3 linked regions of the Mytilus edulis genome follow. The main gene of each other region encodes a partner of the protein of the gene in region 2 in a complex. Links are inferred from orthologs where the notes say so. Each region holds a gene or a part of one and is shown on either strand. Other genes may lie near its edges.

Region 1 (7,946 bases), on a different chromosome or scaffold from region 2:
CTATTAATTTTCCTGTTGTACTCTGAAGCATATCGTTGAATTCTATGTTCATTTTCTTTGTTACCCATCTGAAAATTGAAACAGAAATACAGGCTATGAATATACATATCTGGCATACAAGTATATCTATCAAAACATATATATTGAATAAAGTCACTGTCAAATCATGTGTCATCAAGGCTAAGGAACCTGTTGTTCAAGGGTTGCCCTTTGTTGATGTGGTACATCATGGTACATACAATGTAAGTATTTCAAGTTTTTTTTATATAGATTAGACTCTGTTTTCCTGTTTGAATGCTTTTACATTCCTAGTCATTTTGGGGGCCCTTTATAACTTGCTGTTTAGTGTGACTCAAGGCTCCATGTTGACAACCATTCTTAGACATTTTTTTTAACAAATTGTGACTGGCACTCATACCACGTCTTCTCATAAATGTACATGTACATGTATCTATTTTCTTCTAATCTTAAAAAAATGTGATTTGTAACAGTATTTATATTTTTTTTTATTTTCAAATCATTAACCATGTTAACAGGTTAAAATTAGCCTAATATGTACGTCTCCTTTATAAAAGTTGACTTTTAAAAGCATGTGAACTGTGTGGCTATTAAAACTAGCTTCAATCATGAATGTGTGAAACCATACCTTCGAACACGATTTGTATCTCGTAGCTCTTTGAATAAAAACTGAATGACCAAATTTAATGCTATACATGATTCTTTGCGTCCTTTCTGATCCTGATCATGTATTACTGCTAGCAATTCCTGTAAAACATTATCAGAACATGCATCATGTTACAAACCTTTTACATGTAATGTTTATGCATGGTGTGACAGGATTGCTTCCCTTAGAAAAACTTAGTAGATACTTAGTCAGCCGTAAGCAGTTGAGCTAAGGAAGTACTTCTTTAGCTCAGTCGGTTAGTGCGCTGCCTTGTAACACAGAGGTCTCGAGTTCGAGTCCCGGTGGAGACAAGCAATTTTGTAATGAAATTCGTGCTCTACGGTTACATTGGCGCCCAACAATAATAACCCACTGTTAGAAGAATTACCTAGCCAGGTTAAAATATAAATATAAAAAAGATGAAAATATCATCATTATAGAGTATAATGACTCTTGAGGTGGGGGCGGTGTGACGGGATTGCTTCCCTTAGAAAAACTTAGTAGATACTTAGTCAGCCGTAAGCGGTTGAGCTAAGGAAGTACTTCTTTAGCTCAGTCGGTTAGCGCGCTGCCTTGTAACACAGAGGTCCCGGGTTCGAGTCCCAGTGGAGACAAGCAATTTTGTAATGAAATTTGTGCTCTCCAGTTACAATGGTATTTCTTATTTATTAAAGAATCAACTCTTTATTTTTTTATTTAATGAATGTTCAACTCTTTGAGTCCTAAAGAATGTTTTCTTGTATACAGTATACATACTACAAAATGTACATAGTGTGTTTACCTGGAACATGAACATGAAGACCAAAACTTGGTCTATACCTGCTTTGCTACATGCATTTTATTGAGGTAGCAAGTGTACTAATGAGTTTTATACAATAGCGACATAAAATTACCACAGTGATCGAAAATACAGAGAGATTATAGTGTCAATTGCAAGTTGACACTTCTAAAGACTAAAAATACTAAAGCTTAAAGATGAAGCATAAGGATGAAGAAAATTTCCAAACTATATTTAGTTTGACTTGAAATAAGTACTTTCATAAATATCAGAGCTCCAGATAAGAATTCACAAATTGGGTTTTTTACCCACCATTTTCTTATATAATTGGGTGATAAAGTTTTTTGATTGCATTATCAATTCCAAGTCACCCCTCATGTTAATATCAAATTGGGTTTTTCACCACCAAGCTCCTTAATGTATTGGGTTTTTTCATCAACACAATATTGAATATTTAGGCAATATCAACCCCAGATTTTTTTCCATCTTAAATATGTTTCTTTCTTTGTTTAGCTGTTTTATTTGGTTTAGGGTTCGGGTTAGGGTTATTTGCTAGCTGTTTTATTTGGTTTATTGACGAGCAATTGTAGGTTTGATTTGTGTTCCGTTTCAAACCTTCTGCTAGTTTTGTATTTTCTCATATAAACTGTAAAAAAACCGGATATTGTGTATTCACAGGCACTCGTCCTATACCTTTATATAATAAATTCTGAGATCAGTGCCTGTGTGTGTATTCATTAATTAACCGTAAAATGAAGAAAAAAAAAATAGTATATAAACTCTAATTATACTTGAATGTTTTTGTTTTATTCCAATTTTCATAAATCTGGGTTTATTTGTCTTTTATTAGAACTTTTGGTTTCTGATGCTTTATCATGTCATAATTGATTTGGCCTTTCATCTTTCCAACTGATTTCGTTTTTGAGGAAACCCTGCTTTTATTAGCAATGTTCTCGTTAAGGTACGCACACACGCCCGTGTGTTCGATGGACGCTTCCTAAAAACACTGGCTGAGTCTTGTTATCATCATAACTTTCCCTAAGCTTTTCAAAAGAAGCAGAAAACATGCTTCTATTCAATATTTTTACCGGACATTCACTTTTGTTTTAATTCAATGTATGTTATGATAAATCCCGAGCAATGCGAAAAAAAATATGACTTCATGACACACGCTAATTGGATAAACGCCGAGAAGATCGAAATGTTTTCAAAAACACGTGTAGCTATTGAGCAACGGAAAACTCTAACAGGGACCCATTTCAGCTACTTGATGCAGGGATCTATTTTTAGAACGAAAGGAAATTTCCAATTATAAATATTATAAAAATAGTTTACGCGTCGACTGTAAACAGATAAGGGTAAATAACGCAAATGGTGGCCAATAAAAGGGTTGAGAACTTATGGTTTTGGATTATAATTGGGTTTTCCTTTGAATTAATTGGGTTATTGAACCCTGCAATGGGCAATTGCATTGGGTTTTTTATTATTTGTATTGCGTGATCACGCAAATACGCAGCTTATCTGGAGCTCTGAAATATACTGTAATGTAAAACTAAGTAATGAACATGTTTGAATGTAAATTTTCTTTGAACAATAGTTTTGTGAAATATTAAACAGAAAAGACGTTGACCATGATGACAGATGTTGTAAAAATTTTAGGTCTCAAACAACCTATAGACTTTTTTGTTTTCTATCTCCTTTTTCTCACCTTTGGCAATTTATATTGACAGAACTGTGGTTTGTGGGAAATTGGTTCTACAGGAATGGCAAGAAGTCGTCTTCTGATGACAAATGTCTGGATTAGAATAGTAACCACAACACCAATAATAAAAGAGGCAAGACACAACGCCACCAACATTCCACTTTTCTTCAGCTCACCATTATTATTGATACTTAATGAGTTATTTGTTCATGTATGACAAATTAAGAAAATTGTCAATGTTTTTGTTTATTTTCATTTTTCTGTCTGCAACTACCTCCGCCGTTTTGGTGTGTATTTTTTGTGCTTTGGTGTACTTGTTTGTATTATATACATAGATTGAGTTTTAAGAGGTGTGTCTAGAACATATTCAGATTTATTTTGTGTTCCAATTCCACATCATGTTGTCACAAAAATAAATAATATTTCGATTTTTCTGCTCCTGATTCGTGTGAATGAAGAGTTCTAACAAGGGGACGTAATTATTCGCGCGAGAATTGTGCATCTGAATACCGACAGTAGGTTGAATCCAACGTTAAGATAGAAATAACACCAAGTACAAGTGTCACCTCGACACCTGTCCAAAAAGAATTACAGTGCTTCTCAGTTTGATATTTTTATGTCAGCTTTTTATTCGTGATTTTCATCGTTCCTCACGCCAGAGACACCCAGAGTTTCTAAATAAGATCTAAGAGACTGGTAATTTTCTTTCATTTGGGGTAACCAGTTGGAGAAAACATAGGATTTTTTTATATTTTTTTCTAGTGGGGTAAATTGTTTTGAACAACTTTGTGACTCTAGTCTTCATGCAATTTTGTTTGCCTGTTATGTTCACAATGACATTTACCACACCTTAATTTCAGATTGTTTGATTGATGATGTTCACTGGCTGTAAATTTGTAGTTGGTATGGCAATCAGTTGGTGCACTACCCTGTAAAACATGATGACCTTACATTGAGCTCTCCTTTCTTGTCAGGAGTACTGTCTTCCAGTTTAGTGCCTGTAGCATTGATGTTACACTACTCGTTCTTCTGTAATCATTGAGTATAAATCGTGCGCGTCGGCGTTGCATAGCTTCTAATTTGTTAATGTTGTCCTTAGGCAGCAACCATTTGATTTTCGGGGGAGGGGGGGGGGGGGGGGGGCTATGTATTTTTTTGGAAAAAAAAGTTTGTTTCCAGTTTTGGGAGAAAAAAATAATTTGTTTCTTTTCCTAAGAAAAAAAAATTGTTTGTTTCACCCTCAGCTGCCACTATATATGTAAATGCTAAAATTGAAAGAAAAAAAATGTTTTCGACTTCTCGCCAAAAAAATAGTTTTTCCAGAAAAAAAATCCATAAAATCAAATGGTTGCTGCCTTAGTAGATGGATCCCAGATGGTACCAGAGTATTCTATTAGTGGTCTTACACGCGTTTGGTAGCATAAGGCTTTAGTCTTACCTAGGCTAGGACAGTTTTCGATGTTCCTTTGAAGAAAAGCTCTGTTAGAGTTAGCTTTCTTTGCGATGTTGTCAATGTGTTTATTCCAACTTAATGTTTTGTGTATGGAGGCGCCAAGATATTTCGCAGAATCAACCTCTTCTAGGATATGACTGTGGATATCATAATTTGCCTGAACTGTTTTTCGCTTTGTTGTTACTCTTAAAAGAGTTGGCATTTTTGGGGGTGGAATTCCATCTACCAGTCTGCCTCCCATTGTTGTAGTCCATCCAGGTCTTTTTGAAGGATGGTCACATCTGTTTCATTTCTTATCTGTCGGTAGAGAACGCAGTCGCGTCTGCGAAAGGTCTAACATTTGAAAATGACACATACTCTGGGATGTCATTTATAAAAATAAGAAACATAAACGGGCCAACCACGCTACCTTGTGAAACTCCAGACTGCACTAGCGAAGTTTCTGACGACTCTCCTTCCAGGAGTACACATTGCTGTCTGTCTTCCAGAAAATTTCTCAGACATTTTAATGTCGCTCCTCCAATGCCATAATGGTTGATCTTGTACAGTATTTGTAGAAGTCTAAGAGAATTAGATCTACTTCCTCTTTATTGTCGATGTTTTTTGCTAGGTCTTGAATTGTGAGTATCAGTTGGGATTCACAGGACCATTCTTTTCTGAAACCAGTTTGAGCATCAGTCAAGATGGAGTGACTTTCTAGGTGTTTGATGAAGTTGGTACAGATGATATGCTCCATAATATTACAGTGAGCTTCATTGAAGAATTTAGTCAATAAACTTATAGATATACTATCCTGGATGAACGCTTTCAATCTTATTATGTAAATCTTAGAAGTTAAGTGGAACTAGGAAACAATTATACCTTTTTTGCCTATAAATTGAATGTTTGCTATTAACAACAATATATTTTTTTGTCAAATATTCAAATTATCCAATTTATTTTTGGTTCAAACAATTTGTTTGTGACCGCAAAATATTTTGTGGTCGTTAATTGGTAACACCTGTTGTCCGAAGATATTTGGTTTCCAGATATATAACTTTAGTATCCTCTTGTATTGTATGTTCGACCTACTAATGATAATTTTCCGAAAGATTAGCTGTCAATTTATTTTTGAAGTTACTCTTTTAATGCTGATTAAAGAATATGAATTGTAACCATGATGCTGTATGTCATTTTCTATTCAAAAGAATTTAATGATGTATTTAAATGGGTATGATTATGATTGCAAACTCCATTTGAATTGAGATTATTCGTTATTCGAAAGACAGAAAGTGTACCCAAATATCTTTTAGTCACGTTTGCATCTACCTATTGACTAAATGTCTGCTTAATATTGGGAAGATCGGGAGATCAGGGGGCTATCACCATTGCCTTGTGACCTTTGTCCTAAAATTTTGATAATTTATACCTGAAAAGTAACAATATAAGCCCTCCATAGATAACGAATATGACATTATTCTGGGAAATCCTTCTTATACAACCTTTATATACAGAGTCTATGACTTACTTCATTTTTAAGCACATTGAAAGTTCAGGGGGCTCTTTTTTTCAAAAAAATTTCAACACAATTTTAAATATCCAATATCGAATAACAAACCAGCTGCTAACATTACACACATTAATACTTCATGGTAAACTTCCAATAGGAAAATTAAGTCTGCATGTTCAAAAATTTCTACCAATTACAAGGAGAATACAAAAAGCCGAATCACTAAGACATTCCATTGACATGCATCATGGTACAGACAACAACCACTGAACATCAGATTCCTGACTTATGACAGGCGCAAAAAAATGCAGCGGGATTAAACATTTTAATGGTACCAAAACTTCTTCCTTCTCTGAAATAAAAGGTATAACATCACAACATGTTTATTCTTTTTAAACGGCATCGGTAGTCCTGAGGTAGTGTGTTTCCCATGGGAAGAGAAGTTCTCACTGTTTGAGGCCAATCAGAGTCAAACTATATTTTAAAATTGGTATATGTTGCTTCTACGATAAAATGCATAAAAAAATAAAAATAAAGACTGGTCTGCTGGAACTCCAAATAATGTGTCAGGGTGTGGCAACACAATTTCCTGGGGACTGTTACTTTGCGAAAAGCTTTTAGATAGAAAGAATCTCACAATAAAAAAATCAGCAATACAAAAACAAACAAAAGTGAGGTCATGAATTAAATTTGAAAGTAGGTCCCAGGTGAGCAACTGGGGCTCATTAGGGAACAACTATTCGATTCTCTGTGATAAGACAGGGATTTGTACCCTAAATCATTTTTAATGGCTAATCACAAACAATATTTTTTTCAGCATATTTCAAAACGATATTTTGTTTACTGTAACACTTCAATTAGTATGTGTTCATGTACAGTTATCCCACCATGTAATATATATATAGACCAATCAGTTTTTTATCTTGTTTCTCGCCCGGCTATATGAATGACCAGGAGACTGTTGCCTATCATGTCTGTCGATCTTGCTAGATCAGGTTGACGAGCTGTCTTTATAAAGCAGTAATGAGGATATATACAGTAAAGGGGATATCCAAATGATGTTCCATGAAGTCATAAAGAAGTTGTGACTTGAAAGATTAGTTTCCTCTTAGATCCCCAAAACAAAAGAAAATGACCTTGCAGTCCCTTATATTGATATTAATGTGTTTTGTTAAATCTTTACGTTTTTATTAGATATTTTGTTATTTTTGTATGGCAAGCCGTTTAACTTACTCGAACTTAGTATAGTATATAAGACATCTTATAGACCTTATATAATCTAGTTTTTGTAAAATATCTATAAAATAAGTGTGGACACAGATCATTGTGGATAGTATGTTAATTAAGTTGTTGATAATGTTTTCCGACAAAAAGAGTTCTCTATTTTTCCCATAGGGTTCTATATAAAACTGTTGCACAATGACATCCAACCTGCACCAAACTCTAAACATTAGCAGTGTTGTTTATTTAATATTTGTTTTTTTTAATGCATATGTTCAAGACTGCCATGAAGGAGACACTAATTGCATTGATTACAAAATGAATATGATACGATCTTTGATTTTGTATAAGCTAGGAAAATGGAATTAATATAAAGTAATGAAAATGTCTTACATGCTGCTTAGGTCTAGATGAGCTAGAAAGTAATTCTCTGTGTAATGTTTTATTAGTTGTTTCTTCGAAAATGTCTTTTCCAAAGCCTTGTCAAGTTAAAAAAAAAATTGACCAGTATCAAAATGAAAAAACATGTAGATATACTTATAAATGTTTCATCTACCTGTATTAATTTTATGTTTATCTAAACACCTGTGTGATATTTCTAATGCATTGATCACCAAATGTTACATTGTACAGATGTCT
Region 2 (8,024 bases):
GATAATGTCATAGGGAACATGTGTACAGTTCTACATTAGGATCTTACAATATACTATTACTAAAGTTTTTTTTATATGAAAAAAATCATTTCGGGGATTTGCCAAGACAAGGTTCAGATGCTACTTCTTGAACATGAAGTTTCATAACATTTGCTCTTGATACAGTTTTTTTTAATCCTTAACAATTGGAACCTTAACTTCTGTCAAACTATTGACAGTTTTGTAAAATTCCATCAAATTTTGACAAAGTTACAGATCATGATCATGACCCCTAAAAGAAACATGAACCTCATACTGAACAAAAATGTTGACACCATCAAGGAATAGACTGGAATACAGGATTGACCACTGTTTTGCTGTCAAGAAAACTCCTCATCAAAGTTGTGATGGCATAAATAAATACAGTATTACTATTACTGTTCATTTACATATTTCTTAAAGTGACTTCTCAACTTACCCACTGTCCCCTAATATAATAACTTTAAGCAAAACTTTTTTTCTTGATGCCATCTGAAAAAATAATAATCCATTAATAAAATTTTGACATGTTTTGTTTTCAAATTACTATAAAAGATATTATTTATTTTTTTAACTTGCATTACTACAAATTAATATTGAAATCTTTTTTTTTCATCTATCTCTATTTTATTTATTTGCATATATGTATACATAGATTCCAAGAAAAATGAAGGAAATTGCAACTTTCAGGCATAATTCAAGCATTTTAACAGAAAAGCTGGTTATCATAGCATATTCTCAATACCGTTGACAGTTTGACACAATAACATAAAGAGACAGCAGCAACCACTGACCACATTCCTGACCTAGTCCTGACATGTACATGACATGTTTACTTTCAGATCATTAGTTTAAGAAATACAACAATGTAATGATGTACAAAATGTGTGGTACATGACGATGTACATCTAAATCAATGTCTTTATAGCCTACTCACATTAGAAACTAGAGGCTCATGACAACCTGAATTTGCCTACCTTGCAAAAAAATGTTATATAAATAATACTTGATATCAATTTTATAGTTAACAACAATCACTTTTCCATTGTGACGTCAGATATTTTGTTTTATGCCGTCCAAAATTTACGGGAATCTGTGTATGTCTATTCATATTACATGTACATAAACGCTGTACTTGTGGATTCATCTAATTTCATGGATTTAGGAAAATCGGTATTTTCACAGATACATTTTGTACATGTATTTGAAATCCTGTTTTTGCCAATACTTGGCTACAAGCATGAAGAAAAAATGAACTTCAAAAACTTTCAATATCGTGTTCCATCTTTACCAATGAAATCCATGATAATTGGTATCCCACAAATAATGTTAATTCCATAGTAAGTTGGTTTTACATGATTATGACTGGTAATAAAACTAATACTCATTGTCTAATACAGTGATGTCCCTGGTGTCCGTGCGGCCAGTGATACTGCGCATTAGCTGATTTCATCATATAAACAAAGTAACACAAATAAAATCGTTCTTGTTATTGTTTTAGCCTTCTGAAGGGATAAAAAACAACAAAACTGATAAGTTCAAAAGTTAGATAATAATTGCAATCCTGTGATTTACAATATTTGGCCAATTTTCGGAAATTCGGGTCCGTTCAAATTTAACCGATTTTTAAATTTTATTTTCACCGGAAGTCACGTTTCTTTGGTAATTGTGGGAAATCTCTTTGAAACAAAATAAATATTTGCCCACTTGAAATGGAATCACATCTTATTTTATCATTTCTTTTGGATATTTCTGGAAATATTTTACATCAATATGCACAAAAATTTGTAATAAAGTAAAAATTTCTAACCAGCGATGAAAATTTCACATCAAAACAGTGGCAGATCCAGGGGGGGGGGGTTCCGGGGGTGCGCACCCCCCCTTTAATTTTGCCGATCAATGCATTTGTATCGGGACATATGTTTTGCACCCCCCCTTTGCCCTGGGTTCCCTGGGTTAGCACCCCCCGTTTCGAAAATTCCTGCATCCGCCGCTGCAAAATTAGGTCTCAAACTCCAGACGTAAAAAATGGCTTCAGCGTTATGACGTGGTAGGAAGGCGTCCAAGAAAAAAAATTAAAATAGCCTTGCCAGACGTCATAATATTTGGACTATACAACATGTACATGACAGTTGGCATATCAGCAGTCGGATCAATTTGATCTACATTAGTGTTTTGAACTTATTAAAAAAATTATTGTTTTCAAATTTTATACCAATTTCAATTTGTTTTAGATGAATGAGTGAATCGGCCTAAAGTAAAGGACAACGAACTGTTGGTGCTTACTGTACAATGTACTGTGAAGTAATAACATCAGCAATGAGAATGATGAGACATATGAAAATTACAGAAAGGCGCAAACATTGGAAAGAGGTCTATGGATGATTCTGAATGATTCAAACGTTAAAGTAGCCATTGTCATGATTGTAGAGCAGCGCCATGATTTCAGACTGAAGTAAAACTGTAAAAATGTATTCAAGTTACTCAGCTACACATATCATACTATTGAAGACATATCATACAATTTCGAGACTGAGCATTTTTCCCCGTGTGGCACAATTTTTTTTCTCATGTCACTCTTTCATTGAAAAAAGAAGAAAACAGACTTGACAATAAATTATCTGGGCTCTAAATGAATCAGCTGATCAACATCAAATTTATTGAGGTCATGTTTCTAGGTATTTTTTTGTGATTTTTTATTTGTGTTATTTACGAAAGTAAAGTCTCCTTCTTTTGCAAGAATGATAGACATCTTAGCAGTTTTATGTATAATCAGACGTTATACAGTTTGTTGATTAGTTTATTTCAATATTTGTCCTGTTGATCAACATTTTAATAAAATAAAAACTAGGTGTCATTGAACAGTCGTTTCTGGTGTTCTTGTGCAATTTTATGACTGACAATAGCGATCAAACTGAAATATGAGTTCAGATCTTACTTCTAAATTAAATTACCTTGTTTTTGTTTGTGAATAAATAGGTTACTTCAGCTGTAAGATCTGTTAATAATCAAAACTCCTACAAAATGGCGCAGTCGCGTGACCCATATTACGTCAAAATTTATTTACTTCCGGAATAATTTTTCGGAAGGTCTCTTACAATATCGACCCAAAGTTGTTGACATGTCAGGTCCAGGGCAACGTGATTTTGAATCATCATCATTAGGCACTATTGAACAGTAAGCACGTGTGCACAAAAGCAAATGCGTTTACTGTAAACATTATGATTTATAAAGTTTTCTGACAGTATGTAATTTTATTGATTATAAGGCACAAAATAGTGATGACTGTAAAGACTATATATTTTTTTTATATATAAAGTTGTCAGACAATGAATGAATGATGGAAATCAACTGATCAAAGGGAGACTGAACCAGTTATTTTCATTGAAGATTATTAACTCCTATCGTTGTAAACTAGTACTATATCATCTCGTACCATTGAAGTTCTACTCGGGTAACATTGCTAACTCCTTTTGTTGTAAATATGGCACGTACACAACACTAGAAGGTCCCTAAGTTGTTGTATTGTAATGTAAAGACTTTCTGACCTTACACTTGTATACTTGGGCATTCTATAGATTACTAAAAAATTATAACAGGTAAGGTTTTCTTCCTTCACATATTCTCAACATGTCAAAATTTTGGTGCCGTGACCAGGATGTCAAGAATATATGAATAAAGGAAGAAAAGTTGCATGTACAGTTTATTTATTTAGAAAGACACTTCTTGACAAGGTGAAACAATAGATGACTATTTAACAGCATTGAGAGAATATCAAAAAGCATATGGATATATCAAAGAACAAATTAAAGTTGGTGGTGTTGTTCTCCTTAACTATGAGTCCACAAGAATTAATTAGAAATTGTTTTTATAACTGAATTTATTTGAGGAAACAATGGATTTGTGAGTACAGCAAAAACGAAATTTAAGTATACTGAAACAACAAGGCTGCATGATAGTGAAACTTTATCCGCAAGAAATTACATGTAGTATGGTAAACGATGATAGATGTGAACAAAGTACTGTACAAGACATCTGTCCAACTTCACTGACGTCAATTATTTACTAAATTAGAGATAAAGGTTCTGAAACGGTTAATTTGCCAGTCATGACCAAATCTAAAATCGATTTGTCCTAAACATTAAATTGGGATTTAGGACAAATTTTTTTTTTTCAGATTTTTTTTTCTGTCATTTCGTTGAGATCTGGTTTCTTAATCACCATTTTGTACTTGTTTTTGTGCTATCTCTTTTCTGTAAAAAAAAAAAACTGCCACTCCAGTATAGTATGAATATCCTGAGGACCTTCCTAAATACAAAATGTAGCTATATTTAATGTCCTTCGAAAATTATTCGATTAATGATCGCTTATTTCTTTTTACCAGTACATTATTAATTCTTATACATATGTCTAAACTGACATCCTCATATTTCTTTTTCAGCTGGGATTCCACATATGAAAAAGAACTAGAAGCTTTTAAAGATATAGGTGATGTTGGAGAGATCTGGTAAATTATTAAATGAAAAACTAGGTTAAGAAAAGTAAAACGTTTCTGCTTTTTCTTGGAAAGGGATTATGTTGTGGCATATTTATAAACATATCTTCTATATTCTTTAATATGCATACATGTTCAGTAGTTTGTTGATGTGGTTCTTACATGTAAGTGTATCTCGTTTCTCGTTTTTTATATATAGTTAAGACCGTTGTTTTTCACGTTTGAATGGTTTTACACTAGTTGTTTTGGGGCCCTTTATAGCTTGCTGTTCGGCATGAGCCAAGGCTCCGTGTTGAAGAATGTACTAAGACTTTGACCTTATAATGATTAACTTTTACAAATTGTGACTGCAGAGATGTCTCATCAGCACTCATACCACATCTTCATATTTCTATATATGATCAAATTATGAATAGTAATAAATCAAATGTTGGATATAGACATGATAGATACTTGAACTTGCAAAGATCAATGTAAGTGAACACAAACATTTAGTATTAATAAATAATAAGAAGATGTGGTTAAATTGCCAATGAGACAACTCTCAACCAAAGACCAAATAATGTAGTAGTCAACAAATATAGGCCTCTGTACAGCCTTCAACAATGAGCAAAACAAACCTCATAGAAAGCTATAATTGGCTTCAATAGCAATAATGATATGTAAAACAATGGAAAAGAGTTAACTAATAGCCTTAGGTGAAAAAAAACATTTGTTTCTTGTTGGTTAAAAAAACAACAATTTTTGTTTATTTATGTCAACTTTATTTTATAACTTTTATTGAGGCTTATATGGAAACTTCATATAATAGCTAAGAAAAAACTATCAATATGATATTGATTGTTTTTTCTTGGCTAAAATGGTTAATAACAAAATTTTTATTCATTGTTATTTTGATAGCTGTCTGTTTGTTTCCATATAAGTTAGCGCATAAGTTTTTGTTCTTCGTTTATTGAGAGATACAAGTGAATGAGATATGATAAGCTGGCCCTGAAATTTCCAAAACTGTAATATTAATCCAATTCCTTAATATTACATGGTTCAATCGATAAATGAAAAATAAAATGATACTGACCTAGTTTAGAATAGAAATTGAAGATGTGATTTCACTATGACATTATAAACATCTTCAAAATTGACATATTGTGAAATGACTATTTTGCACACATTTTGTTGGTAAAACTAGTTATGAGCAAAATGAGGAGAAACTCTTTTTATCGTATCTTTTTCAAGAAAAAGTCTTCATGTTACTTTTGTTTTTGTTTCTGCTGCTTGAATAAATGATGCATACCACAATATTTTAAGTTTTCACATAAAATGCTTTTGATCGGAGGAGAAGAAGTAAGAATAAAGATGCCAAAAATGAAAAACTGCTTATAGAAAGAAAAAGTTCTAATACCTGTTCAATAATTTTAGGTTTGGAGAGGATAGTCAGGAAAGAATACTGGACTGGATAGAAGATAATGAGGAAATAAAATCAGATGATTCCATAATAGATTTAGGCTGTGGCAATGGAATGCTCCTTGTAGAATTGGTAGTTTGCTTATTGTTGTGTCCATGAACGTTGTTTTACATTCTTCTTTACTGATGACTAACATGAGTAAATATATGTAGTGTACTTATAACTTTCTTTAAAGTCAGAAAAAAGTTTTAAAAAAAGGGAAAATTCAAATCAGAAAGTCCCTTAAGTATCAATTGGCAAAATCAAAAGCTCAAACACATTAATCAAATGGAAAATAACTGCCATATTTCTGATTGGTAAAGGCATTTCATTATGTAGAAATTGGTGAATTAAACCTGGTCTTAAAGCAAGCTGAACCTCTCAACCATATCTCTTTAAATGTAATTCATATCTCTAATCACTTTTAAATACATTTTTTGGTTTTATTAGTACAATAGTATTGGCTCTGCCAAACATGACATCACCACTCATTCTTATAAATATTGAAGGTTTATGTTTTTTCAAAGTTACATATAAAGCATTTCCTGAATTTATTAAGATGACAAATTTATGAAAAGTATATATGGTAACAGTAACATTTCTAAATGAAGAGGGCACAAATACCAACTTATATATTCATACTTGTTATAATATATCATTGTAACCCAAAAGCAATAACGCACTGGAAGAGTTGGGATATTCAAAGTTATAATTTTTGCTTTATTGTTAGGATCTTAAAAGATTATTTATTTTTAATACTGATTGACCATGTAATCATTCAGGGGCGGATCCAGCCATTCTAAAAAGGGGGGGTTCACAACCCAGAGTAAAGGGGGGTTCCAGCTATATGCTCCCATTCAAATGCATTGATCGGCCAAAAAAAAGGGGGGGTTCCAACCCCTGGAACCCCCCCTCTGGATCCGCGCCTGTCATTTGTGCCAAGTGCAAAATGGTTAGCTTAACATGTCTCTTGGGATATCCCTAAAAATGTGATAGGGTAATTTTGGAACATCCTATCTGTATGAACAAAGAGTGTTAAATGTACAGCAATCAGACAGTGATCCAAAAAAACATATTTAAACATTACGATCAGTTGATTTTCAGCTATCCATAAAACCTGCTCAGCCACTGATATTAGTATTAAGATATGAAATAAGTATCATCTACATGAACAGAAAAAAAAACTAATCATTACAATTTTGAAATATTCCATGGAAATCATAGTACATGTAGATATAAAATGAAAAACTATATTAATAATATTAACAGATATATATATATGTTTTTTATACTTTAGAGCCAGAGAGGTTACAGTAATTTGACAGGAGTTGACTATTCTGAAGGTGGAATAGAATTAGCCAAGTCTATAGCTGTAGGCAGTAATGTTGAAAATATAAAATACGAAGTAAGGATGTTTCACTTTTTATTTTTTTAAATATGATATCAACCTGATTAATTTAAAAGATTGGTCAAAGTAGTTAACCAATACAAACAGTTGTGATGTCAGCATTTAGTTTTAAGCTTTTTGTTATTTAGACATAATTGTTTGCTCTGCAAAAAAGTTATAGAAATTTCAGCTTTCTTGTAGTTTTCATACGACCCCAAAAATTGCGGTTGTATATTGGTATCACATCGTAGTCGGTGTCGTCGTCTTAAGACGTATGGTTTCTGGATAATTTCATTAGTATACCGGTAAGTATATAGAAATCAATAAAATTTTAACACAATGTTTATAACCACAAAAGGAAGCTTGGTATTGATTTTGGAGGTTATGGTCCCTAAGGTTTAGGAATTAGGGGCCAAAAGGGGCCCAAAACCATCATTTATCTAGTGTCAGGACAATTTTAGTAATTAGAAATCAATCAAATTTTAACACAATGTTTATAACCACAAAAGGAAGCTTGGGTTGATTTTGGGGGTTATCTAAGGTTTAGAAATTAGGGGCCCAAAACAAGCATTTATCTAGTGTCAGGACAATAAGTTGTGTATAAGTTTTTCAATTGTTCTGAAATTGTACCCATTGTTTAATACCATAAGTAATAGGTTGGGATATATTTTAAGGGTTATGGG
Region 3 (8,672 bases), on a different chromosome or scaffold from region 2:
ATGGTGACAAATAAGGGGAAGTAACTCTAGTTCAGTTTGTAAACCAATGGTGCAATTTATTTACGACCTAAAGCTAAGGTAATTGGTGTTAATTAACAGTGTGTTTGACACTAAAGCTGTCAAGTGAAGCCATGCACTTAATGGGTCACTTAATTTGACAGTTTACATAGCTAGATGAACTTCCTGTTCATGGAAGAATTACGAATTTGCCGGTATTTCAAAGGAATATTACTTATGAAATCAATCTCAAGGCTAAGAAATATGGGTGAAATCGGGTCATTTTTCGGAATTCCCGGGTTATTTCAATGACCCGGCAGGTGTTCCAGGTGATCCCTCAGAATTGTGAAAATCTCAGGTCACACCCGCAGAATACGGGTCAGTTGGAATTGACAGGTATGGGGTGGGCAAAATTTCTAGCTTGTCCACTCTGCCCACCCATAGGAGTGGGCATGCAATTTCTTTTGTTTAATCAAAAGACTTGCAAGTACAGTCAATTGAAAAAAGCAGATAAGCATTTGTTATCACTATTTTTACAAAAAAAGAGATTATAGCTAGGGTGGGCACAGGTGGGCCGGTGGAAAAAGCAAAATCCACCCGGGCTGTTGTGTATATGTATAAAGTATTCATATTAAGAACTTATATCTATTGCAATTCTTTAAACCATTTATTTTAAGTATCAATAAATGAGTGGTTTAACATCCTTCACAGTACATTAATGCATTAGATGATGTATACTTACATGACTTTATTAATCACTTATGATGTCATAAGGTAAATCCTTTTACAACGTTTTAGGGTATTGTAAATTCAGAAATTATTGAATGCATTTTTTTTTAGCGTATTTTGTAGAATGCATGGACTATGGACTAAAATGCGAGATTAATTATTACGATTTCATGAAAATCTGCATACAATTATTTGTATCAGATATACAGACTTAAGAATGCATGATATATTATGGCAACACTGATTCAGTCGCATTATTCCCATTAATGAGGAGGGCTGGACCTTTTTGGGACGTCGGAATCAGGTGTTTTTAAGCTCTGGATTTCGGGATTGATCCTTTTTGGGATCTGGGAATTCTTTTTTTGAATTTTGGGATGTTGGGATTTAAATTTCTTTAAATTTGAGACCTCAGGATTTCATGTTTTTAAGCCAATGGCGTACAAGGGCAGTAAGTAAGTAAGCCCGGGATTTCAGGATCAGGACCCCTCCTACCCCCCCTCATTAATAAAAACCTTGCAACAAAAAAAACCCTAATAGAATCCCATGATCTTAGGGTAAGTGTTGTAGAGACCTGCTCCATTTGCATGTACAATGTATCACCCACTATACGAAATCTTTACTTATCCAAAACGTCACAACAGGAAATAAGATCAACAAATCACTTGACTATTTTGATAATGTAGCATAAATGCTGAAGATATAAGACATACATGGACCACATGTACAGTAGGTGTGAACAGAATTGAGGCAACCCTCCAAATTGAGAACATCTAAGATTAGCATCTGAGCATTGCAAGTTTTTTTTGTTTTTTTCATGTTTTCATTGGCTTGTAACAGGTTGGGAACAAACCCCCTATATGGTGATTATACCTGTATAGAGGGATAATCCTTCTTTAGAGGGTAAAAATTATCCCTCTATAGAGGGGTATTTTTGTTTGCACTGGATTTAAAGCAAATTAGGGCAGAATGGCATTCTCTTCTTATTATGGCAGTAACCTGGAACAGTTGATGCACCAATTGATGTACTTAATTTAATATGCACATGCCCAGTTTGATGCTTATCTGACTAAATATAAAATCTATTGTCAACCATGATTGTAAGCTGTGATGATCAGGTAAATTCTACTCACTTATGCCTCACTGAACAGAATTTCTATTGTTAGATTTAACATGAAATTTAAAGGTCAACTATTCCTTTTGTTGTTAATCAGGTGTTCAGATAGGTATACAATAGATTGCAAGTTTTGTCACTTTAGCAGAAAACTGGTTATCCCAATTTTTAGTAAAGTGCATATGTTGATGCATATAAGAAAAATTATTTGACTCCCTAGTTGTGCCTATTGCTCTATACGGTAGTGAAGTATGGGGAATAGGCAAACAACACAGGGATTCAGATCCCTTTGAACACTTGCAGTATAAATTTATTAAAGAAATTCTAGGAATACATTGTAAAGCATCAAATGCTGCATGTTTAGCCGAGCTAAATAGATTGCCTTTATATACCAGAATAGAATTTTCAGCAATAAAATATTGGCTTCATATACTTGAATCAAATAATTCACTTGCCCTAAAAATATATAAAGCAACTGAAAAAAATAACTCTTGGATAATAAATATGAAAAATCTCCTTTCAAGACTTGGTTTTCATTTTATTAATCTAAATCCTATTGATATTAAGATGTATTTAAAACACATTCAAGAGAGAATCAATGATATAGCCTTCCAAAAGCAAGAGACTGACATCAATCAAAATAAAAAAATGAACTTTTTTAATATACTTTATAAACCAAATAAAAGACCCTCGTATGTTGATCAATGCAAATCCAAAAGTGATAGATCAACATTATGTAAATTGAGGTTAAGTGCTCATACTTTATCTATTGAAAGAGGGCGATATCTAAAAATACCAAAGCAGAATAGGGTATGCCTTTGCTGTAACAATGGAGACATTGAAGATGAACTTCACTTTCTTTTAAAATGTTCCTCCTATAAATATGTGAGAGATAACCTTATTAAAAAATTAAATAATGTTCTATTGAACAACAAATTTTCTTCCTTATCATATAACTTACTTATATCAATTCTAAATAGTAATTCCCAAACAATATTAAAAATTGTTGTCAACTATTTGAATGAATGCTTGTTGGTGAGAAACTCATTATTAAAAGGTACTTGATTTTTGTAATAATGTATATGCTTCTCATTTATTTTTTATATATTTCTCTCATAATTATCCACTGTCACTCCTTCATTGTATATATATGTTATTGTAGTTAGTCTTTAATTTGTTGCCATAACCATTTATTGTCAATGTGTTAGTGCTAATAAAGTTATCTTATCTAAGTTATCTTATAATGCTAGAGATTATAGCCAATATAACTAGAAAATGCCATTCTGCCCCAATTTGCTTTAAATCCAGTGCAAACAAAAATACCCCTCTATAGAGGGATAATTTTTACCCTCTAAAGAAGGATTATCCCTCTATACAGGTATAATCACCATACAGGGGGTTTGTTCCCAACCTGTTGAATGTATGTGTTTAATCTTGAACTGGACATCAGTAAGCGATCTGATATAGAAGAAAAAAATCACATTCATACTCTGGGTCCTGGTAAAATTGAGAGTGAATATTAAAACCAGAGGCAGAGGGATCTAGGTCTCATAGTCATGCAGTCAGAGGGCGTATCGAAATGAAAACACGTTTCCATATATTCCTACATAATGACAACTTTTCAGATCATTGAGCAAAGTAAACCCATGAGTTTAAGTTTTGTCTTTGAACTTTGAAATGAGAAAATCTTGCTATAAATACACAAAATACCTATGTTTTAAATGAGGATTTTCCTCATCCGCCATTCCTGTTTACATCACTAATTTACATTCGGACAACATATTTTTGTACAACTGCAAGGTAAAGTCATAAGAGTTCCAGAATGAAATTTAAGTTAAAATAGCGGGAAATACAAACTATAGATGATTTAAACTTAGTTTTACTTAAGCCATTATACAGAGGCGGATTTAGAGCCCCCCTTTCCCGAAACAATTGGTTATATAGGGAATCATTAATCTTTGCACCTTTTAGCTACATAACATTATGTATCATAAGTTGTGGACAAGGTTTTTGTAAAGCTTCAAGGTCTGAAAAATACACTTAATCATCATATTTTGACAAGATCTCCTAAATGCAAGGTTTTTAGAGCCTATAATATAGATATTTGTTTTTCTTGGGTCTCAGGTTTTTGAAAAAATCTCTTTATGAACAAAATGTGTGGCTTTTTGATATGTTATGAACAGAGACATATAGGTGTCATACCACCAATTAAAAGTCCCTATCTGTTCAACCAAATTTTGCAATTTTCACAGCTTTCTAAATAGTTTACCTCAAGTTTAACTTCATAGAAACTAGGTATATCCTGAATTGTACAGGTGTCACCTTTCTGCATGCCAATTTTCAACATACATTCAAAATCATATAAGAAAGCAGAGAGCTTCCGAAAGGAGGTACCACTAAAAATAACCCCTGGTTTTCTGGAAATCTTAAATTAGTATACTATGGAGCGCATTAATCCTCAATTTTTAATGCAAACTCATAGACAGGTAAATTTTGGCTCAAAATAGTCTTAATATATTTCTCTTTCAACAAAACTTTCATTTCTGCAAATTTGTTAGTTAGTTTAGGTGAACAATGACATCAAATGCACTTTTTTTTGTCCGAGTAGGCCTACTTTCACATACGTTCTAAATTTGAGGGAGTAATTGGTGGTATGACACCTAAAGAGACAAAAAAGTTGATTAGAAATCTTTTATTTTGCTTTATTCTTAATCCTTAGTCAATTTGTAGTTAAAAACAGCCTATTTGAGCATTATGCGACTTATAGTAAAAATTTCACAGCTCAATTTAAACTGACTGTAATGTATGACTTTGATAGAAAATACTTGAAAATTTCATTTTGGGCTACAGGAACATAAACTTTCAATATCAAGATCATTGTTTGCTAATTTTTTCTTGTTTGTTCTACTTCTTTAAAGACTTCCAACAATTTTTGCAATGAATTTAGTAAAAAATCCAAGGTATTGAAGTGTCGAGGAATATTGACCCCCCTTTTTTTCATCTGGTGTCAGTAAAGTACTACAAATTGATCAAAAGTGCAGTCATGGTCATTTAACCGTGTTTATTTACATCAGTTAATAAAATTTAAGATATAAAAATTTCATTTGGAATAATAAATGGTGCTTTTGTGAGTTTCTGCAGTGCTTACATTAGGCTATGCTATCTGCCAAGTACATAGTATGACGCAATGCTATAAGGGGTAAAAATCAAATAATTTCATTAAATCTGCATGACAAAATTTTTTGGGGGGTAGTAAACAACTTATGTTTCAATGTTTAACACCACAGAATACCTTTCTGTGCATTTATAACATTATTTAGGACATTTTTTATATAAAAGCATATTGTCAGGATGGGAAAAGCTAAAAATAGGACAAACTCAAGTTTTAGGCTCTAAATTTGCAATATGTGACATTTTGCCCCCAAAAAGATTGAAATGTGGCTACTTTTATCTCAAATGATCAGTTAAGACAAAAAAAAACAATTGTTTTCTGATTTTGATGTTTCACCGCATTTTGCTTAAAGGTGTCATACCACCAATTAAAAGTCCCTATCTGTTCAACCAAATTTTGCAATTTTCACAGCTTTCTAAATAGTTTACCTCAAGTTTAACTTCATAGAAACTAGGTATATCCTGAATTGTACAGGTGTCACCTTTCTGCATGCCAATTTTCAACATACATTCAAAATCATATAAGAAAGCAGAGAGCTTCCGAAAGGAGGTACCACTAAAAATAACCCCTGGTTTTCTGGAAATCTTAAATTAGTATACTATGGAGCGCATTAATCCTCAATTTTTAATGCAAACTCATAGACAGGTAAATTTTGGCTCAAAATAGTCTTAATATATTTCTCTTTCAACAAAACTTTCATTTCTGCAAATTTGTTAGTTAGTTTAGGTGAACAATGACATCAAATGCACTTTTTTTTGTCCGAGTAGGCCTACTTTCACATACGTTCTAAATTTGAGGGAGTAATTGGTGGTATGACACCTATAATAGATCATAATACAATTGTCTCTGGTTATGAATCTTAATTGTCCTTTTTCAACGAAGGATGTCTCTCACCAAAGAGAATAAAAATGTATCTAAAAGACCATCTATAGCTTTAAATCCAACATACATTTTAAATTAGGTTAATAACATCATTATTTCACATTTTATTGGTATTATTCAAATTTGACAAAATCTGTCAAATTTGTGGTTTTCAGTTATCTTCAGGTATTTTCCAACCGGTCATGTGTATTGAAATAAGCCACACTATTGTTAGAATCTCAAGTACATCCAGCTGCATAATGTAGATGTATTTGTAAAAAGATTGCAAGCCTTTTTTAATTGCTGTGGTGAGAAATGAATTCAAGTAAAATTTGCCCTACCTCTTTATTTTAGTGATACTTGTTACATTGTACAAAGTTAAATCTAAATACAGGTATGTATGATGGAAGGACAGGATGTTCCAATTTATTGAAGTTGTAAAGTTATGCAGATGGAACTGTAAAGTACACACCTTTTTACTGCAACTCCTCTTGCATGTTTTTTTTGTATGAATATGAAACTATATATACATTGAATTATTTTATATGCAGATGTTCATGAGTGGATATTCCATATCTTATGTAACATATTCATTGATTTTTTTATGTCCACCAACCTGAATAGTACTATTCTATGCCCAACATCTCTGTTTATGAATAGATTCTTTGCATAAATTACAAATACTGTGAATTATTTGCAAAACATCAACTTTTTTTCTTCATTTAATAAACTACAAGTTCTAAAGAACCAGTGTCGCTCACCTCAATGTGTGTGCATGATCAGCAAAGGGCAAAAACACAAAAAATATTTGTAAAAATAGTCATTAAAGAACTTTAACTCCAAAAAGGAGTCAACTGAAGATTTCGGCCATTAAACTTGTTTGTAGATCTGGTCTTGCTGACTATTTTTACTATTCAAATTGTCTGTCTTTTGAAATTTTTAAGGGAATTCGCTTCTCGGTTTCAAAGTAATTAACTTTTCAAAACACTAGTTTATATTGATAGGGGATTAATAAAGGAATCCAAAGAGCAAAAAAAATATATAGGTCACTGTGCTCGTTTTCAATATATTAGCCATTGGAATTTTGGCGGGAAAATGTTCTCTCTTGACTTTCCATAGCTTTATCATTTACAAGTTAAAGTCCTCAAAAACTATTAAAAAGTAATTAAAATTTTAAAAGACTTTAACAGACAGCTTATCATTATACATGTATAAGAATTATCAAAAGAAAAATGGGGGTCACCGGGCAAAATTTTTTTATGCATTCAAATGGATAAAACCAAAGGATTCCAAAAATCTGACAAAAATCCCAACATGACAAGCCAGCTTCTTTAAGTTATTAGGCAGTACAAAAAAATCCTATTATAAAAGGGAAATAATTCTTTTGATGACTCCACTGATGACGCAAGTCATGTTGACTTTTGCTATTTAAAATCTCTATCAACCATAGTTTTTTAAAAATAACAGGCAAAACTTTGTTAAACTGGTAAAATTTGTCATTTATAAAGGGTCGTCTGGCAGTTTTGATGTAAATATGCAGCAACTGACCTCAACATTGTGACCATTTCTGTCCCTGTCAAGATTTTCTTTATGCATAGGAGTTTGCAAGATTATAGACGAAACTTGCATTTTACCTATAGGTATTCTTTAAACTAGATACCCCAATAAATATTGGGGCCCAGAAGACAACAGTTTTGTAAAATTAAAAGACAATGCTGGACACAAGTGATGAGATTAGCTAACTTGGGCCTGTGGGCCTGGTGAGCTTGAAAGCAAAGTTTTAAAATATAAATCTCTAGATTGTTAAGATTTTAAGTATTTACTGTTTCTAATCCAGAGTTTTCACTGAAATTGAAAACTGATCTAATTTTGTGTAATCATTTATAACAGTCCCAACTTGTAACTGCTAACAATTATAGCTTCAATTTACGTTGCTATGCTCTGTACCTCTTTATTAAAATGCTCATACATGTTTGGAAGGGCTGAAAATTGACAAATCCTACAATCATATTACCAGGAAAGGCTGTAACTTCGCACTTCAGTGATTTTGTTTAAACTAGATTTTTAAACTGCTTATTTCAAAAGCATCCTTGTATTGTTCATCGTAACTACACATTATATTACATGTATATAATTAATAAAATATGTATAAGAGTTTTATTTTCTTTATTTTATATATTCACAACAAAAACTTTATGTTCTGACATTTTAAAATATACAGTAAAATTAAGATAAAAATAAAAATAACTTGTTCATTATCACAGTCCATGGTAAACAATAATTACATAAGTAAATTTGAAAATTTTCAAGTCTACTTCTTCTTCTTTCCTTTCTTTCCTTTTTTGCCCTTCTTTCCTTTCTTCTTTTTACTGTATGGTCCAAATCCTTTTCTAACCATGACTCCTCTCCACCAGGCTTGGATCTGTAAAACAGAGAAATAAAGAATGAAAAATTTTGATTTTTGTGAATTTTCTTCAACTGTTTGTGCAATATAATATAATTCCTAATAGTCCATTTGCCAATTACCGATTTAATTCTGTTATTACACACTTTTTAAACAAATTTCTTCCCTTTGTCAATTGTACACCGGTTCCATACTGGACAAAATTTACTTTTGCCAATGCAAAGCATGATGGATTGAAAGTGATGTATCGGTGGTTTAACTAATTTCTGATGTCAAAAGTATTCAGCTTAACAACAAATTAATGTAATTAAAAGATTTGAAAACCTCAAAGATTCCTCACATTATGATCTTTCTGCTAGCTCTCCATTGTAAATACAAATTATTGTCCTTCGTAAGGG

The links. The genes of interacting proteins can lie anywhere in the genome.
Region 1: the proteins of ras-related protein rab7 (region 2) and PDZ domain-containing protein 8-like are in contact, whole or in part, in a crystal structure (PDB 7F6J), measured with the Homo sapiens proteins. The link is inferred for Mytilus edulis from reciprocal best matches to the Homo sapiens genes RAB7A and PDZD8. Residues at the interface, in NP_004628.4 of Homo sapiens: Lys10, Leu14, Asp16, Ser17, Lys38, Ile41, Gly42, Ala43, Asp44, Phe45, Gln60, Trp62, Gly66, Glu68, Arg69, Phe70, Gln71, Ser72, Leu73, Gly74, Val75, Ala76, Phe77, Tyr78, Arg79, Thr98, Ser101, Trp102, Glu105, Phe106; in NP_776152.1 of Homo sapiens: Ile999, Lys1000, Leu1001, Val1002, Arg1003, Lys1004, Glu1005, Gly1007, Leu1008, Asp1009, Asp1010, Phe1013, Ile1014, Lys1017, Gln1044, Leu1051, Asn1054, Asn1055, Val1058, Leu1077, Leu1084, Gln1085, Thr1088, Ile1092.
Region 3: the proteins of ras-related protein rab7 (region 2) and run domain Beclin-1-interacting and cysteine-rich domain-containing protein-like are in contact, whole or in part, in a crystal structure (PDB 6WCW), measured with the Homo sapiens proteins. The link is inferred for Mytilus edulis from reciprocal best matches to the Homo sapiens genes RAB7A and RUBCN. Residues at the interface, in NP_004628.4 of Homo sapiens: Ile41, Gly42, Ala43, Asp44, Trp62, Gln71, Ser72, Leu73, Gly74, Val75, Ala76, Phe77, Arg79, Ser101, Asp104, Glu105, Ile108, Gln109, Ser111; in NP_055502.1 of Homo sapiens: His818, Asn821, Met822, Lys824, Thr825, Arg827, Leu883, Gln885, Ala886, Lys887, Gly888, Phe889, Ile890, Glu892, Gln895, Glu897, Ile900, Pro903, Cys915, Lys916, Arg931, Arg934, Arg938.

The regions. Positions count from the first base shown.
Region 1 is NC_092351.1:31,657,702-31,665,647, reverse strand, and holds the start of PDZ domain-containing protein 8-like, read right to left. Parts: upstream 3,625-7,946; 5' UTR 3,301-3,624; coding exon 3,151-3,300; intron 766-3,150; coding exon 647-765; intron 69-646; coding exon 1-68. UniProt on the Homo sapiens protein: Molecular tethering protein that connects endoplasmic reticulum and mitochondria membranes. PDZD8-dependent endoplasmic reticulum-mitochondria membrane tethering is essential for endoplasmic reticulum-mitochondria Ca(2+) transfer.
Region 2 is NC_092344.1:39,828,427-39,836,450, forward strand, and holds the start of ras-related protein rab7, read right to left. Parts: upstream 3,237-8,024; 5' UTR 3,196-3,236; coding exon of another isoform or gene 3,140-3,195; 5' UTR 2,973-3,139; intron 511-2,972; coding exon 458-510; intron 1-457. Other genes in the region: EEF1A lysine methyltransferase 2-like, read left to right, coding at 3,140-3,195, 4,460-4,525, 5,930-6,047, 7,252-7,359.
Region 3 is NC_092346.1:87,321,004-87,329,675, forward strand, and holds the start of run domain Beclin-1-interacting and cysteine-rich domain-containing protein-like, read right to left. Parts: upstream 3,625-8,672; 5' UTR 3,583-3,624; coding exon 3,548-3,582; intron 1-3,547. Other genes in the region: dynein regulatory complex protein 9-like, read right to left, coding at 8,182-8,292.